4 linked regions of the Schizosaccharomyces pombe genome follow. Changing the gene in region 2 together with the main gene of any one other region gives a genetic interaction. Each region holds a gene or a part of one and is shown on either strand. Other genes may lie near its edges.

Region 1 (3,090 bases), 1.2 Mb from region 2:
TCCATACTGGAGAATCAGTGGTAATTAAATGCTCAGGCTCCTCTGTTGACTTTTCATAGTTCCAAAACTTAACTGTTCGATCCATAGCACAAGTTAATAGGCGAGTTTCACATGCTCTATTGAATTCAAGACCATTAATTTTAGTAATATTTTCGGAAGTTTTAATTGTATGAAGTGGGGCGGATCCATAACGATCGTCCCAAATCCTTACTAAACGTCCATGGCTAGAAGCAAGTATGTGGGGATTTTTATAATTCCATTTTACCTGAGTAGCTCCGTTATGCCAATCGTAAAAGGAGTTAACAGGAAATCGAGGACTACGCAAATCCCAACAGTGAACAGAGGAATCAATTGAACAAGTGGCAAGAACATCAGGATTTTGCCGATGCCAGTTCATATCTGTGACGGCGCGGGTGTGTCCATGTAACATAAATTCTATAGCACGATCATTTGGTAGTGCAAGGTTCCATACTATCGTTTTTTGACTTGATGTAGAAACCACCCATTGGTCTCTTGCGGCATGAACATTCCACTGAGTATCAGCAACTTCCCAAGGAGTAGAATGTCTTAGCATTCTTGGTGGATTATAAGGATTATCAAGATCTAAGACTAGTAAACCATAACGTGAAGCTAAAGCTATATCTCTACCACAAGGAGATAAAGACATAGCACCCACTGGTTGATTAACTTCAATTGATAATTGTCTATCAAACGTAGTACTATCAAAAGGGCCGTATTCCACATTGCTGTTAGAATTCGATGGTAACTGCAAGTCTTCATCTTCGGAAGGGATGATGACCGTGGAATCCATATTTCTTCGCAACCGACCAGAAACACCCTGAGAGTTAAAAGATATTCGACGAGATCCATAACTACCATCGTCAAAAGAAGAAGATGATATGGAAGTTAAACCTTGCAACCTTTGTGTCGGTGTTTGAGAATATGCAACAATGGTACTAGACCTTACACTTTCTGAAAAATTTGCAAAGGAGTTAGAAGCTTTTTTAATTAATATCTTAGAATCGTTTAGCTTATTGTCCAACGTTTCTGAGTGATCTTTAGAGATTGTTGACGATGAAGCTAGTTGATCACCGTCTTGTGCAGTGTTTGATTGAGCGCTTAGAGCAGTGGACGATTCATGGATCATTGATTCAAGACTGTCTTTCTCCAATTCAAAGTTGCATAATTCCCCGCTATCATCCATATTATAGTATGAAGATGGGTTTTCAGAATTAAATTGCTTATTGGGGTAATTCAAGGTACGTTCATCTTGAAGAGATTTCAATGAATGTTCATAATCAATAGGCGAAGAATTTTTTACAACCGAATCACTCGGAGGAGACTTTCTTGAAGAATCGTCTCCCTGTAATTCCCTCATCTTTTTCGATATGGGCCAGGTGACTGTAGCAATTTCAGGATTCTGAATCTTTTTTTTTATAAAAAAACAAATTAAATTTTATACAATATTATGAATATTAATAATAATAAACTAAGAAGCCATGGCTACTTGTCAATTGCTAATACTATTCTTAGCTAGAGCCGTGGAGATTTTATTATCACTCACTATTTGTATTATGTTTTACGTCACTCCTTATATAGAATAGTGTATCAATCTCTCCAGTTTCTCCTTAAACCAAGTACTTATTGTGTGTACAGCATGCATTCTAGGAAGTCCAAGTATATGAACAATGGCTTTGCCTAAGCGTATTATTAAGGTTTGCGCTTTCTGTTAGCATTTTTCAACTAATAATTGGTAGGAAATTGAAACCCTTACGAGAGATCCTCCACCCGGAATTGTAGCGGCTCCCACTGAAGATAATCTTCGCTATTTTAAAATTACTATGGAAGGGCCTCAGCAATCAGCTTATGAAGGTGGAAAATTTCACTTAGAGCTGTTTCTTCCTGATGAGTATCCAATGGTAGGTTTTTTTTGAAAACACAGTATTGAGCCTACCATGGTCCTTTTGCTAGCCCTGCTAGTTCAACAAAAATTTGAAGAATGGCATTGTCAGTTTCAAACTGTCTTCAAAAAATTGTATAATTGTGTAATTTGAGTTTTAACAACTATTAGATGCCTCCCAATGTTCGTTTTCTTACTAAAATTTATCATCCAAACGTTGATAAATTAGGTCGCATATGTTTATCTACGTTAAAAAGTATGTTAAACTTCACACGTTTCATCTTATTTTGGTGTACTAACATTAATAAATCAGAGGATTGGAGTCCTGCTTTACAAATTCGAACCGTGCTACTTTCGATACAGGCATTAATGGGTGCTCCCAACCCAGATGACCCTTTAGACAATGATGTTGCAAAGATTTGGAAAGAAAATGAGCCACAGGCAATTGCAAATGCCCGTGAATGGACGAAAAAGTATGCAGTTTGATTACTTATGATAGTCCAATGCTTATGGTTATCACTAGAATAATAATATATTACGATATCAATAGCTTTCTATATACAGTCTTTGATTTGAATTCTACCCATTTCCTTAAGTTTTTTGCATTCAATTTTTTCCTAAGCGGTTAAGGTCTTTTCGAATAAAAGATGTAAAAATTAATAATAGATAATTATGGTAGCAGAATACAAACATCGCAGCTTTTGACGGACGATGAAAAAAGTGATATCTCGACGAGCACAATTAATTTAAGATATAGTGCTATTCATATAACAAGGAAGTATTAAAGTTTAAGCAAAATCCATAGTTATTATTGTTAATCTTGCAAAGCTTTCATTAATCTAGCAGAAAATAATTTTCCTTGTTCTTTCGTAAAGATAATTTCCTCCAACAAATAGTCTGGTAAATGTTTCATAAGCTCCTCATCAGTTTGAACATTCAGACGTGGAGTAAATGTAAAGTTTTGATCATCTAACAAGAGCTGATATTCGAGTGCTATAATAATATCCTGTTAGCTTGAAATTATTTCTAAATCCCTTAAAGCACTTACTCCCTCTCCTTCCAGTGTTTTTACAGTTGAAACGATATCCATCCTCGTCCTCTATACAGTCTGCAACTTCTAATCCGAAAAGCTCCTTTATAAGTATATTAATTTTTGAATAGTTTTTTATTTGCTCTCGAGTTTTCAATAA
Region 2 (5,963 bases):
TCCTTAAACGTTACTTTTTTTTGTAAACTTTCTTGCCAAAGGTCGCTCATTTGTATGTGTTATTGTTTCATTCCAGATTTATCTGTTTACCTTTCGTACCACATACTTTTATCTATGTAAATCAGAATGTCAGGACCAGATCATGTTCAATGTCCTGTTTGCGCGAAAACAGTTACGATGAATGACATTAATCCACACCTTGATTCACATTATTCGGACTCATCAGGCCCTTCGAAACCTGTTTCACCCTTTTTTAAAAAGGAACGCTATAAACATCATTTAGAAACAAATGTCTCATCTCACCAGAGCGCTACAAAATTTATAGAGCCTGAACCCAGCCCTACAAAGAAAACTAAACTTACAAGACGGGATACACGACCACTGGCGGAACGAGCAAGACCCAAATCACTAGATGAATATGTTGGTCAGGAAGAGCTGGTTGGTGAGCGAGGCATCATTCGTAATCTGATTGAACAAGATAGGTGCAATTCCATGATTTTATGGGGTAGTGCTGGAACTGGAAAGACTACGCTTGCTAGACTAATTGCCGTTACAACAAAATCAAGGTTCATAGAAATTTCTGCGACTTCGACGACTGTTGCTGATTGTCGTAAAATCTTTGAAGACTCACAAAATTATCTCACCTTGACAGGAAGAAAGACTATTATTTTCTTGGACGAAGTACATCGTTTCAACCGTGCGCAACAGGATATATTTTGTAAGTTTGATATTTTTTTATCTCTTCAATTAACCATGACTAGTGCCAATGGTTGAAAAGGGTCTAGTTACTCTGTAAGTGATGCATTCTAATATCACAAATGCTAACCTTTGAATTAGGATCGGCGCAACAACTGAGTATGTTTAAACACTAATGTTTTCCACCATGATTAACATTGTAGAAATCCTTCTTTCCGACTAAATTCTGCTCTCATTAGCAGATGCCCCGTTTTTGTGCTTAAGAAACTAACGCGTGATAATGTTAAGAAAATATTAAACCATGCTTGCTTACTGGAAAGTGAGCGACTAGGATCTTCTATGCCCAACGTTGAAACATCTATTATTGATTACATATCTGCTATTACAGACGGAGATGCTAGAATGGCCTTAAATGCTTTAGAAATGTCTATTGGAATGCTAAGACAAGGACCCCTGTCACTCGAAGATATTAAGGACAAGCTAGTCAGATCTTCTGCACTTTACGACAGAGTAGGTGATGTTCATTATGATACAATTTCTGCCTTCCATAAATCAGTAAGGGGTTCTGATGTCGATGCAACTTTATACTATCTGGGTAGAATGCTCGAGTCTGGAGAAGATCCACTGTATGTGGCACGAAGAATGGTTAGAATAGCAAGCGAAGACATTGGAATAGCAGATAATTCTATGCTACCTCTAGCATCCAGTACATTTACTGCTGTTCAACAAGTTGGCATGCCTGAAGCCGATGTAATTCTAGCTCATTGCGCCGTCGCCTTAGCATTAGCTCCAAAATCAGTTGACGTTTACAGATCATATAATGCTGTAAAAAGTTTTTTGTCTTCTCATCCCGATGCTGGCAGGGCTGAAATTCCCATGCATATTCGAAATGCTCCTACAAATTTGATGAAGCAATTAGGATACCATAAAGGATATAAATACAATCCGGATTATAAAGACGGATTAGTAATGCAAGAGGTAATAAAAAATATTCTTTTCAATTTGTTAACCTACTCAGTATTTACCCGATTCTATCAAGGGAACAAAGTTTTATAAGCTACCTATAGAGTTAAAAGAGGATGAAGAAATTAAAAATTTAAAAACTGATACTAAATAATTATATAAGTGATCCTTCACTAATTGTTCATTTACCACGTTATAATGGAAATCATTGTATTTCAATACCTTTGCACTTAGCCCATACTTTAATGGTGAAGGGGTAATGTCTCAAACTCCTATTAAAAAGGAAGAATCTAATGATCAGGATGATAAATTTGAATTTAAAAAATATATTAATGAAGGGAAGCTCCCTCTGAAAGCAGATAATCCCAAAAAAAAACCACAACTTGGAACTATTCAAGCTAATCAGCCTATTCCATCCATATTTGACAATCTTTTTAATTTATTCAAGGTAATTAATACTACATACACTTTTCTTTATTTGAGAAATTCTCTTACAATCACTTTTCCCCTTCTCAATTCGAGTGTTAAGCAAAGTTTGAAAAAGGAGTTGACAATCGGCGATTTATCTCAGCTAAGAGAAATATGTCCTCAAATAATTGAATTAAATTATAAATCACTTGCTAGCCTTGCATTAGAAATCAATAAAAATGTTTACACTGATCTAAACCCTGAGTTGTACACTGGTTCAACGGTCTCACAGAGTTCTGAATATGTTTTGGTTATTGAGCTTTTAGAAACGCAAGAGAGAAGTTCCAAACGAAGGAGACGTGAAGGCCCAACAATGAAGGCTAATATCCAGAGGCAAAAGCTGGATTTTAATAATTTGAAGAAAGCCATAGAGTTACGAAACCAAAAGTTCCTTCAAGGGATTAAAGAATATATAAAAAAATGTCAATTGACAGAACTTGACCCAACGCAACAGCTATTAACTCAATCCCGGAAAAACCAGCCGGTTCCTCCTGATTCACCGAGTATTCCTAATGATTCAATAGAAAACTGCAATTTAAATACTAAAGCGTGCTCAATTGAAGAACTTTTAAATGAAATAGCTTCTGAATCTTCTTACGAAGGGCAAATAGTCCAAGAAGCTTTACATACTTATCCTGCTGTTGAAGCACAATATGGAGCGTTGTCTCGACCTTTGTCTCAAGAGCTTATAAATGCTCTTTATACATCTAGAAACATCGAAAAGACATACAAACATCAGGCAGACGCTATCAACCACCTTTGGAACGGATTTCATGTTATAGTGTCAACTTCTACATCTAGTGGAAAGTCTTTGATTTACCAAATTCCAATTTTACAAAGTTTGTTAGAAGATAATCAATCTACGGCATTTTTTGTATTCCCTACTAAATCTTTAGCCCAAGATCAGAAGAAGTCGTTAATCGATATACTTAGCTATATGCCGACGCTTAAGAATATTCGAGTGGACACCTTCGATGGGGATACACCACTTGAGTCTAGAGAAAGTATTATTAGATCTGCAAATATAATCTTTACGAATCCGGATATGTTACATCAAACGATTCTTCCCAATGCTAATCGTTGGTATTATTTCTTTAAAAACCTGAAACTTTTCGTCCTGGATGAAGCTCATGTGTACAATGGAATATTTGGCGTTCACGTTGCTTTTGTTCTAAGAAGGATGCGCCGTATTGCTGAGTACTTTGGAAATAGTCAATATCGATTTGTATCATGCTCGGCTACTATTGAGGATCCTTTACAACATATGAAAAAAATTTTTGGAGTAGATAATATAAAACTAATTAACTATACTTCTTCTCCTTCTGGTTCAAAAAAATTTGTAATGTGGAATCCACCTTATGTCGACCCCAAGCATCCTGATGATGGAAAGAAAAGCGCAATCTCTGAAGCCTCGAAACTGCTTATTAAATTTGCCGAAAAGCGGGTGCGTACAATTGTTTTCTGTCGTGTTCGAAAAACCTGTGAGTCGTTAATGAGACTAGTGAGGCAGGAATTAAAAACCAAACAAAAAGGAGATCTTTTATCTAAGATTCAATCGTATAGGGCTGGGTATACGGTTCAGGAACGCAGGAAGATAGAGAGTGAAATGTTTAACGGGAAATTATATGGGATTATTGCGACGAATGCTTTAGAGCTAGGTATTGATATAGGATCACTGGATGCCGTTATAACCATAGGATTTCCATATTCTTTGTCTAACTTGCGCCAGCAATTTGGTCGTGCTGGTAGAAGGAATAAGTCTTCCTTAGCAGTATATATAGTTGAGACATTTCCCGTTGATCAGTTTTATTTAAAGCATCCTATTTTGATTCACACTCAACCAAATGCTGAACTCACTTTAGACTTGACAAATGAGGTATTACTAGCGAGTCATCTTCAGTGTGCTGCATATGAGCTTCCCATTAACATAAGGAGCGACGAAAAGTTTTTTGGAAATCAAATTCAAGACATTTGCGAAGCAAATTTAGAAATGGTTGAAGAGAGTTATCGGCCTCATCCAAAATATCTTCCTTTTCCTGCCTCGCAGGTACGGATACGAAGCGTTAGTGAAGACATGTTTACTCTCGTCGATGTCACAAATGATAAGAATGTTATTCTAGAACTCCTCGAACCTTTTCGTGTTGCATTAACTGCTTACGAAGGTGCAGTTTATGTTTATCAAGGAAAAACGTTTATCATTAGGCTCCTAAATATTAACAAGAGAATTATTACTGCTCATCAAGTTGATGTTGAATGGTCAACATTGCAAAGAGATTTCACAGATGTTGATCCTGTTCGCAGCTTAATGAAGAAGACTATGCATGGAAGTACAAACATTTATTTTGGGGCTGTTAAAGCAACATTACATGTATTTGGGTATTTCAAAGTTAACAAGCAGAAAGATATTCTGGACGTGGTAGATATTACCGATCATCCTGTTGAAATTGATAGTCGAGGTTTCTGGATAGATGTACCTTGGCATATCATTGAGGTTTTGTCATTAAAAAAAATAAATGGAGCCGCTAGTATACATGCTGCCCAACATGCTTTACTTTCGTTGATGCCAATTTTTATTAGTAACAGCGGTAACGATATTCGAACAGAATGTAAAGCGGGTGAAAAGGAGTATAAAGAGGCTAAAAGCGAGCGAAGACGTCCTTCCCGACTCATTTTCTATGATAATTGTGGTGATTCATCTGGTGCTGGTTTATGCAACAAGGCATATGAACATACTGATGAATTAATTACAATGGCCATTGAGCGAATTGAGAGTTGCGATTGCAAAGTTCGTGAAGGTTGTCCCGGATGTATTACGAGTTCAAAATTTGAAGGCGGAGTTTGCTCTGGAGAAGTACTTGACAAGGGTAAGTATAGATATACTTTGCATTTTTTGTTGGACGGTGAAGCAATCCCGTATAGATTGGTCGCTTAGTAGTTTGTAAGATAACACTCTCATTTTTTTTATGATCAAATGAAAAGGGATTGCTTGCAAACTTAAATAGATTATTCACATTACTTCTACTAACATATTTCTTTCAGTTGGCGCTTTAATCTTATTGAAAATGCTACTGTGTCAACATGTAAATTTAGATATATATGCTGATGGACCAGAGATTGATTCATATCACGCTTTGCGAACTTTAATACCTTCTTGTTAATAATTGAATTTATTTTTTTTATTTTGTTTATATTAGACTAAATTATTAGTTAGTACTACTAATATTGCGTTGTGCTTTTTGATTTTACATTTAAACCCTACCCTAACTTACCGGAGTCAATGTTAGATACTGACAGCGCTCAGTGCTTACTACCGTACAGCCACCGTTCTCCTCATAGAAGCCAAGTCCCAATATAAATCTTGAATTTTTGTAAAAATATGAGTTTTGCACAAATTCTCCGTGGCTCGAGGGCAATGGCTTCTCCAAAATGTCTTCCAGAATCCAATTATTCAACATCACACCTTCGGTTTCCTCGATTGCAATCCATAACTTCAAAAAAAAATAGTAGAGCTCGTGGTGATTGGGGACTGAAAAGGACTCTTCCAAAAATAAAGACAAGATACATATGTGTGCGGCAGCAAGATTCCTTATACAAGCAAGCAGATTTTCAATCAAGCGCTAAATTTGTTCGTCTAGTTCGCAATTGGTTTGATGCTGGATTTGTACGAGATCCTTCTGAAGTTGCTTTGTTGCAAGAATTATTGAAAGAAACGGGGTTGAAAGATACGCGTGACATAAATAAGGTATTTTCTCCTTCTAAACAATCCGACGAAAATGATAACTTTCGCCGTTACGGAGTTTCTGGCGGTATTCAATACAGTAATGTTCCTTTAATTA
Region 3 (3,579 bases), on a different chromosome or scaffold from region 2:
GATATCTTATTGTGCCTATCTTGTACCTAACGAACATGAAGCTGCCATTCTCTTAAATCAAGCAGACTCACCTGCTACGTTGGAAAATGTGGATGCATATGCTTCTAAGTTACTAAGCTTCGGTGTCCGTAAAGCCGTAATTATAACCCTTGGTAGCCAAGGTGCTTACTATAAGTCTGCGAACGGAGAATCTGCTTTGGTCTCAGCATGCAAAGTGAAAGCCGTTGACACGACTGCCGCTGGCGATACCTTCATTGGTGCCTTTTCTAATTCAATTGCACACGGACAGCCACTTAAGGACTCACTGGAATTTGCTGCTAAATGTAGTGCTATTACTGTACAGAGAAAGGGAGCTGCAAGTTCTATTCCTTCCTTACTTGAAGTCGATGGTTCCTTTAACCTAAAAAAGAATACATAGCCTCTGGCTTTTACGCGTTACCTTACAAAGGGAAGAAAAAAGCATAATTCGATTTTAGATTTCTACACATTCTTATCTCATATAACTTCATCAACTCTTTTTCAGTATTGAACATAAACTTGCATGTTGCTCAAGTTAATGAGAACAAAAGGTATCTCTTACGAATAATAAAGGTTATAGCATAAAATATGATTCGTTTGTTAATAAGAGGGAAGTGAAATAAACGCCTTGACTTTTGTAGAAAGAGTAATTACCATCAAACAAGATGTTTGATTCATTAAACAATCTGCTCTAATTCTGAGGTGTAACTCAGTAATTGACGAATACTCGAAATTGTGTGCTTGCTAGCAGTGGGAGGAAGCTCCAATTCGTCTTCCTCATCAATAAGCATACCATCCTCCGTCTCCAAAGCATTGGCCTCTTTGGGAAAGTATATTACACCGTCTCTAATATCCCAGCCTCGTTCTTCAGCAAGTTTTTCGGTTTCCTTAGTGTTTTCCAGGTACAGCAAACTTGTTGCATTAGATAAGGGGATTTCTGAATACACTTTCTCGGCACAAGTCGCAATTTCGTTTCGAACCATACTCATAACAATTTTCATAAAATAACTAAACTCAGGAAAGTTACAGGATCGAATCATGGATGCTACCTTATCAAATGCACCTTCCATTACATTTTGTTCTAGAGAAATAACCCATTCTACGTACGGATCTCTTTCAAATAACGATTTGTCAGGAACGGATTCCAAGGCTGTGTGAAATTCAGCGATACGATTTTCAGATAATAGATACAACAAATTTAATCCTGTAACAAGTCCCATCCTTGATGAAGGGACAAGGGAATCATGATAAAAAGGAATTACTTGGCTAGCATACCTTGCAAACGATTCAATATCACAAGTTTGAATCGAGACAAGTACACCGTATTCAAATACATTTCCTATAAGGAAGATTAGAGGTCTGTTCTTAGATAACTATACAAATAACATACTGGCAAAACTAGCTTTCTCTTTATCGCTAGTAGGGACGAAGAGGTTCTGCTTAGCAAGTTCGACTTTCAGTTTCAGAAGTTCCTTTTTACAAGCATTCCAATCCTTTCTGTCATAAAGATCTGCTAAATGGTTCAAGTCTAATGTACTCATATTGATGTGTATTGAGAGTGTAATAAGTTGGAACTTTTAAGAGAGCTGTAGAAACAACACCTCTTGCCATGCATCTCAGAATAGTCATCAATAACGAACACACTATAAAGGTTTACCAGCAAAAATTAAAGCTCCTTACGGATTTTGACGTTGTTTTATTAGATTCATTATATCACTTAAGCAATTGTAACATAGTATTCACTCACAATAATTGCTGTAGTTGCGTTAACTCTCTTTATCCTTTAAACTAAAGAATATGCCGGATCTTTGGTCAGAAAGTATATTAGAAGGCAGAAAATTGAGTATTTATCATCTTAAAAGTACTTTAGAGAAATGTCCATTTCTATTTGGTCAAAGTAAGAAGTCTAAGGATTTTCAATTTGGGAGTCATCTTTTTTTGGTAGAGGAACAAAATGTATTTATTTTTGGCATGGAATGCATAGTTTACGAAAAAAACAAAGAGTTTATAGTATTTGTATCTAAAGCAGATTCTACCGGATTCGGCAGCAAAGGGGTATCTTGTAACTCTCTTGCTTTTTGCTGCTTAGTGACACTTATTGACGGTCTTAGAAAACAAGGAGCCGAAAATGTAACTTTGACTCTGTTTGCGATTGCTCAAGGTCAATATTTATTTCCTGAGTCGGTGGACAATGGACAAAAGCATGTGCTGAATGATTCTGGTTTGTTACGCTGGTGGGTAAATTGTTTGGAAAAACTCAGGAAGTATTATACTGACAGTGAAGCACCAAACGATTCCGAAAAGCAAAAGAATTCCACATTACTTCCTAAGGCTTATTTATTTGTTCCTGGACTTGAAAATATTCGTTCGTACTTACCCAATCGTCATTGGATTGAAAGCAACGCTATAACAACTGGAAAAGCAGTTGAAGAATTACCAAGATTTCCAGATGACCCAAAATGTAGGTATTTATGCGAGCTTCAAGATGAGAAAAGTGACATGTCCGTTGAAGAGTTTTGGGATACGCTGACTTATAGACAAGAGTGCTCCTCAGGTAAACTAGTTGGCTTTTTCACATTACAGCTACAGTTCTATCAAACAAGAGAATTTATTGCTAAAGATAATTTTGGTGATTCTGGTGTAATGATTCCAGCTAAATTATACAGAGTCACTTACGATACTTTATTGAAGCATCCATTTGGCTCTTTATCTGATGCACAGTCGTCAACAGAAAAGTTTCTTAGTAACACACTTTCCGCTGTACAAAATTTAAAGGATTTTCATTATAAGCGCTACAAGCTAGATATATGTGGGTTGGCAAAACGTGATGATCGTAAAAATCACAACCATTCGAAACCTGCTACGCAAGCCAATATTCTACAGCCACGAAAAAAAGTGAAAAAATAAAGGACTTTAAGTTCGTTGAAAATTTTTAATAATCCCAATCAATCCTCTCATGTAGATTTTTAGAGAAAGTTTTTGTTTAATATTGAAATTGACACTTTTCGTCAGTATTGCAAATAAATTAATAAACAACAAATATCTAAAATTAATAAAAAGCTAAATTAATGAGAGTGAAACTCAGGGGGAGTTAGTAAAAATAACTATATCAAAAAACCAAAACTAAGTAGAAATATCAGACTGACTAATAAGACATTCGACTATCCATTCAGGATCAACGACCGGACAATTAGTTTCATCTACAATGTTTCCATCCATCGTAAGTATCAAATCACACTCCAAATGTGCAACATTTGGTCTAATTTCAACGTCAGCACCCAATGCCAACGCGTGATAGACATGAGCCAAAGCTTTTTGACCCTGCTCTGTATTTTCAATCTTTTTCTGCCAAGATTTTGCTTCAGGTATAATAAATAAAATCTTTTTTCCAAATAAAGGACCCTTCCTTGCCAAAAGTCTGTCATATAAAGAATCAGTGGTATCAAAAGGTTCTATCCGTTGGGAAAGTGTACAATCTAGACGGTGTGAATAGCCAGATGCCAATAAATAAGGAGAAAAATCAACAACTCTGTTCATTTTTAAGCACTGTTTAATAAATTG
Region 4 (5,693 bases), on a different chromosome or scaffold from region 2:
GTCGAGTTCAATTCATGTAATAGCTGCGTAAAATTCATGTTTTTGGCATTGTGCTTACCATAATTTGTTAATATTTTTTCTACAATTTCATCAAATGCCTTCTTCCGTTCTTCTAAGGTAGAAAGACGCTTATTTATGTTTTTGTAAATGCTTTCCTGATTAGAAGGAAAGGTAGATATTTGAGCGGTACTGTAAGAAGATGAAGAAGATGGAGAAATATCGTTAAAAGAGCGAGTTGATGTTGCAGGATATGATTCACTTTTTCCTGTTTCATTTCCTATAACAACAGTGCTCAAAGACTTAGATATCACAGTAGAAGAAAGTAAGGTGTCTGTACTATTCAACTCGACTGATGGATTCTTTCTCACTGGTTTGCTTTGAACATCGGTATCTTCTTCGTCCACAAAAATAGGACTTTCTTGAGGCTTCCGGATTTCATCTGCTTTAATAGCGCTTCCGTCGTTCACTTTTTGTTCTAAGAAGTCTTCATTTGCTTCTTCAAATTCTTCTATCATAGTTTTTCCATAAACCCTAAGTAGGCTTACAGGACAATAAAATTCTGACCCATAATGAGTTAAAAACTCTATTTTAAGATACTTCGCCCAAATAAGAGGGTTCTCAATATGAAAAGATTGAAGAGTCCTTAGGTTTAAGGCCGTAAATGTACCCAATTCCATCCAAGAAGACTCGTATTTTGGATATTTACCGCTTACACTGACCTTGAAATCACGAAATATACTTGAAAAAAATTCGAAGTTGGCAATTTGAACTGTATCGACATAAATATCCTCACAAAGTTCAATTACCACGAACTTGTTTTCAGCGGAACATTTGTTCAGCATATATTTGTCTTTGTTTTCGGTCAGAATCGAAGAAGATCCGACTGCTTCAGGATTTGTTTTAATGACAGCAGCAGCGCAGTCAGTTGAAGCAAAGTTGAATCTTTTTTCTTCTGAGAATGCAACAGTCTTTTCATCTATATTTGAATCAATTGTAGCTGCTGCTGAAGTAGAGGAACCATCCTCAGAAATTGGTAGAGTAACCGAAGAACTAGTAATAATATTAGTATCAATAACTTCCGTTACAGAATAGTTTTGCTCTAGCTTCTTTGAGGATGAAATTGTAGACGTCTCGTTCACCAATGGTGGGCTAATTGAATCTATAAATTCGCTAGTACTTGTTCCATTGGAATATTCATATTTTGACAAAAAATTAGAAGAAATGGTATCACTTCCATTCAAACTCGTTTTTGTGTGAAACGAAGGTTCCTGGTACTTATTTGTGGGAGTGAAATCCCATGTTGTAGGGTTGCTAGCTTCTTTTTCTTCAGATTTGGTAGCAATCACAGAAAGGTACGCATCACATACCAAATTTTCGTTATGCGTATCTGGTGACTTCAAACACAATGCCGGATATTTACACCAATGACTCGTTTGTGGAGAGCAGCAGCATAACCGAAATATAATAAAATAAATTAAAAAGGCATTTCCAAATGCAGACAATCTTCTTTTGACCATATGATTTAGGCAGCCCTATCAGTTTAATGTGGTAATTGGCTCAAGTCAAGTGCCACACACTAAAGTGTTAGCATCAATCATCGCACATGCCCTTGTTTTATCGCTTTGTTGGTAAAACATGTCTTTTATAACGATTTTAATTAAAAAAGAAGAAAAAGGGTAAAGAAAAAGGCTTGCTTTAATCACATTTCTTCGTATAATAATCAAAAATAAAGTCGTCTACAACGAAACTTCTTGACATCGCATATAATATTTTGCAATGGGGGTTTCAGGTCTTTGGGATATTTTAGAACCGGTAAAAAGGCCTGTCAAGCTAGAAACACTTGTTAACAAACGGTTGGCAATTGACGCTTCAATTTGGATTTATCAATTCTTAAAGGCCGTACGTGACAAAGAAGGAAACCAGCTGAAAAGCAGTCATGTTGTAGGATTTTTTAGAAGGATATGCAAACTATTATTTTTTGGGATTAAACCTGTATTTGTTTTTGATGGAGGAGCGCCGTCATTGAAACGCCAAACTATCCAAAAAAGACAAGCCAGAAGACTCGACAGGGAGGAAAATGCCACGGTCACGGCCAATAAACTTCTGGCTTTGCAAATGAGGCATCAGGCAATGCTTTTAGAGGAAAATAATAAAAAAGCTACTGCATTGGCAAATGCCTCGGTTCAAAATGAGAGACAAATGCCTTCATCTATGACATTGGATAATTCAGAAATTAAGCCAGTACTTAATCAAAGAAAAAATTATTTGAAGCCTGATCCATACCAACTACCTGAAATGGACGTTTCGTTTGATAAGTTAGGGTCGAGTTACGACCCTCGAATTATGTCCCAGGATGAGCTTACACAATATGTCTCTAGTTTTACTAAAATTGAAGATATAAATTTATTTGATTTTTCAAATATTGATTTTGACTCTGAATTATTTCAATCATTACCCGATACGGATAAATATAGTATTTTAAGTGCAGCAAGATTACGCTCTCGTTTACGAATGGGTTTAAGCTCTGAACAACTTTCCGAGATGTTTCCTAATAGAATGGATTTCTCTCGTTTTCAAATTGAGAGACTGAAGGAACGTAACGATTTAACTCAGAGATTAATGGACTTTACTGGAATGAATGAGTTTGGACCCTCTAGAGTAGTAAGTGAAAAAAACCGAGAATATATTTTAGTAAAAAACGAAGGTGCTGAAGGTGGATGGGCTCTCGGTGTTATCTCAGGATCTACAAACAATGAACCTATTATTATTGATGATGAGGCTACAAAACTTAGCAGCAATCTTATAGACGAAGACGAGGATGAGGCATTCTACGATGTGCCTTTACCTAGCCGATCTCATAGCATGAACCCTAGAGAATTGGTAGCCGCTAAATTAAAGGAAATAAAAGAAAATTCATTTTCGGAAAATCAGCAATCAGATGAAGCAGATTATAATGTTACTGATGATTTAATACTTCAATTAGCAACCCAGCAATCTCTAGAGGAAAACAAAAAATCAAAAGAGCTGTTTAGTCTTTCGGCTTCTGAGTTTGATAAGTTGAATAGCGAGAAAAAGACGTTTGAAATTTTGTCGACCGATATTCCTGCAGAGGATTCAATGAATTCACTTCTTAACGACGAGGAAAATTTGAAACTTGAACATGTTGGAGATGTTTCCAATGATTCATTAGCATTCGCGGAAAAAAAGCATCCTGAAAATGGGACTTCAATTTTTATGGATGCCCTTCCATCTGCGAGTAGAGAGAAAAAAACCAATGATTTAATTGATCCTTTACCTTTTCAGCCTATGGATTGGGGAAAGTCTATTTTTTTCGAGAAATTAAAGAAACCAACTGAAACATTTATGGATTCTAAAACTGATATACCAAGTGAGGCACCGGATAATTCTAAACTTGTGGAAGATACAAATTTACATACTATTAATGCAACAGTTAATATTGAATCCGATTTAGACGCTGCTAAACCTGGAATTGAAAATCCAATTATTTCACCTCTTCTTCCGGTAAAAGATGATGAAAAAGATTTAGACTTACGTGAACTCAATCCTTTGGAACCCTTTGAGAATATGAAAGAACAAGCTGATGATGGCACAGTTACCAACCCATTAAATGTTTCTAGTGATAAGGCCATGTCAGTGTATTTATTGAGCTCCGAAAATGCTAAGGATACTGGGGATATCAAATCCGAATCAATTGACGCTGTTCTTCCTACTTTAGAGACCAGCAGCCCTTCACTTAGCATTCCAACTGACTTTCAAAAAGAAGCCTCTCCAAATAAAGGAGCTGCTGCCTTGAGTTCGAAAGTAGAGCCTGAAGTGGTTGAAAAACTTTTAGATGAGGAAGAAGAGGAAATGATTATCAGGATGGCAGAAGAAGAAAAGGAATATGATCGGTTTGTTTCAGAACTCAATCAACGACATGAAACTGAAGAGTGGAATCAAGAGGCCTTTGAAAAAAGGTTGAAAGAGCTCAAAAATCAAAAAAGGTCTGAAAAACGTGATGCGGATGAGGTCACTCAAGTAATGATTAAAGAATGTCAAGAACTTCTGCGTTTATTTGGCTTACCATATATCGTTGCTCCTCAAGAAGCAGAAGCCCAGTGTTCTAAACTTTTGGAGCTAAAGCTGGTTGATGGGATTGTTACTGATGACTCAGACGTGTTTCTTTTTGGTGGAACTCGGGTATATCGAAATATGTTTAATCAGAACAAATTTGTCGAACTCTATTTAATGGATGATATGAAAAGAGAATTTAATGTGAATCAAATGGATTTAATTAAGTTGGCACATCTTTTGGGAAGTGATTATACTATGGGACTTTCTAGGGTAGGTCCAGTTCTTGCACTGGAGATTTTACATGAATTTCCTGGTGACACTGGACTTTTTGAATTTAAAAAATGGTTTCAACGTTTATCAACTGGACACGCATCAAAAAATGATGTTAATACGCCAGTAAAAAAGAGAATTAACAAGTTGGTTGGAAAAATTATTTTACCATCAGAATTTCCTAATCCGTTAGTTGATGAAGCTTATCTTCATCCGGCCGTGGATGATAGCAAGCAATCGTTTCAATGGGGCATACCCGACCTTGACGAGTTACGCCAGTTTTTGATGGCTACTGTGGGTTGGTCAAAACAACGAACTAATGAAGTTTTACTTCCGGTTATACAAGACATGCATAAAAAGCAATTCGTGGGTACACAGTCCAATTTGACTCAGTTTTTTGAAGGTGGTAATACTAATGTATATGCGCCGAGAGTTGCATACCATTTTAAGAGTAAACGGCTTGAAAATGCTCTTTCATCTTTTAAAAATCAGATTAGCAATCAAAGCCCAATGAGTGAAGAAATTCAGGCAGACGCAGATGCATTTGGTGAATCTAAAGGATCAGATGAACTACAAAGCCGTATTCTTAGAAGGAAGAAAATGATGGCAAGCAAAAATTCCTCTGATTCAGATTCAGACTCTGAAGATAACTTTTTAGCAAGTTTAACTCCGAAGACGAATTCTTCTTCAATTTCTATTGAGAATCTACCTAGAAAAACCAAGCTTAGTACTAGCTTACTAAAAAAACCCAGCAAAAGAAGAAGAAAATAAGTTTAATAAATTATTTATTTATTTGTTTACTTAACTGGTTGTTCCTATAAAAGAAGTTACTGTAATTTTTTGTTGAGTAAATTTTTTTGAGTTTTCCTGCTGTAACTGTGTTTAGACAAAGTAATTGAGCAACATAGCTTATATTTTGTGATTTATTCGTGTTTTGATTATTTACAATTTTTCTTGCTCTTTGTTACCTTACCTAATGTCACTTTCTACTACAACCTACTTAGCAGCAGTAAAGTAAAAACGGAGAAACAGAATATTTTTCGAAATGTTAAGTACAAAAATTGATGCGGAAAATGCGGAAAATGCCGCCGAGGTAAGCCTTGGTTATTATTTATTTAATAATACTTACAGATTTTAGATTGAAATGCAGGTACGTGGTTGTAGAAAGTATTTAGTTTTGGTAAAGCATGTACTGATTTAAAAAATTTTAGTTTGCAGTAAAAGCTGTTGAACAGGCTCGTAAGTTGAGCAAAATATGATGGAATAAAAAATAACAATTTAGAAATATACTGGAGTCTTTTGGAAATGCGCAAGGGAAGCGAGTTAAAGCTGACAAAGTAAGTATATAT

What was found.
Region 1: mutations in hrq1 (region 2) and ubc13 impair growth when combined (synthetic growth defect), as found in Schizosaccharomyces pombe (4 studies listed by BioGRID, with this or other methods).
Region 3: mutations in hrq1 (region 2) and rtt109 together harm fitness more than expected from each alone (negative genetic interaction), as found in Schizosaccharomyces pombe (2 studies listed by BioGRID).
Region 4: mutations in hrq1 (region 2) and rad13 together harm fitness more than expected from each alone (negative genetic interaction), as found in Schizosaccharomyces pombe (2 studies listed by BioGRID).

What each region holds. Positions count from the first base shown.
Region 1 is NC_003424.3:5,286,680-5,289,769, reverse strand, and holds ubc13 (ubiquitin-conjugating enzyme Ubc13), read left to right. Parts: upstream 1-1,675; 5' UTR 1,676-1,688; coding exon 1,689-1,715; intron 1,716-1,757; coding exon 1,758-1,919; intron 1,920-2,071; coding exon 2,072-2,156; intron 2,157-2,213; coding exon 2,214-2,386; 3' UTR 2,387-2,590; downstream 2,591-3,090. Other genes in the region: SEA complex subunit Sea3, read right to left, coding at 1-1,378; csm1 (microtubule-site clamp monopolin complex subunit Csm1/Pcs1), read right to left, coding at 2,715-2,893, 2,949-3,090. UniProt on the Schizosaccharomyces pombe protein: Has a role in the DNA error-free postreplication repair (PRR) pathway. The ubc13/spm2 heterodimer catalyzes the synthesis of non-canonical poly-ubiquitin chains that are linked through 'Lys-63'.
Region 2 is NC_003424.3:4,113,137-4,119,099, reverse strand, and holds hrq1 (RecQ type DNA helicase Hrq1), read left to right. Parts: upstream 1-1,885; 5' UTR 1,886-1,918; coding exon 1,919-4,991; exon of another isoform or gene 4,992-5,166; coding exon 5,167-5,285; 3' UTR 5,286-5,427; downstream 5,428-5,963. Other genes in the region: mgs1 (DNA replication ATPase), read left to right, coding at 127-718, 762-792, 838-855, 900-1,674, 1,715-1,813; mrp51 (mitochondrial 37S ribosomal protein bS1m), read left to right, coding at 5,504-5,963. UniProt on the Schizosaccharomyces pombe protein: Helicase with 3'-5' helicase activity involved in genome stability. Functions in the nucleotide excision repair (NER) pathway and plays a critical role in DNA interstrand cross-link repair.
Region 3 is NC_003423.3:4,212,986-4,216,564, reverse strand, and holds rtt109 (histone lysine acetyltransferase Rtt109), read left to right. Parts: upstream 1-1,803; 5' UTR 1,804-1,815; coding exon 1,816-2,925; 3' UTR 2,926-3,079; downstream 3,080-3,579. Other genes in the region: rbk1 (ribokinase), read left to right, coding at 1-418; 19S proteasome regulatory subunit Rpn12, read right to left, coding at 696-1,357, 1,409-1,559; crb2 (DNA repair protein), read right to left, coding at 3,142-3,579. UniProt on the Schizosaccharomyces pombe protein: Histone chaperone-dependent acetylase that modifies 'Lys-56' of histone H3 (H3K56ac), which occurs predominantly in newly synthesized H3 molecule during G1, S-phase and G2/M of cell cycle.
Region 4 is NC_003423.3:2,672,441-2,678,133, reverse strand, and holds rad13 (DNA repair nuclease Rad13), read left to right. Parts: upstream 1-1,564; 5' UTR 1,565-1,776; coding exon 1,777-5,115; 3' UTR 5,116-5,144; downstream 5,145-5,693. Other genes in the region: SPOM_SPBC3E7.09 (Sad1-UNC-like protein), read right to left, coding at 1-1,517; SPOM_SPBC3E7.07C (uncharacterized protein), read left to right, coding at 5,390-5,437, 5,483-5,494, 5,556-5,583, 5,627-5,681. UniProt on the Schizosaccharomyces pombe protein: Single-stranded DNA endonuclease involved in excision repair of DNA damaged with UV light, bulky adducts, or cross-linking agents. Essential for the incision step of excision-repair.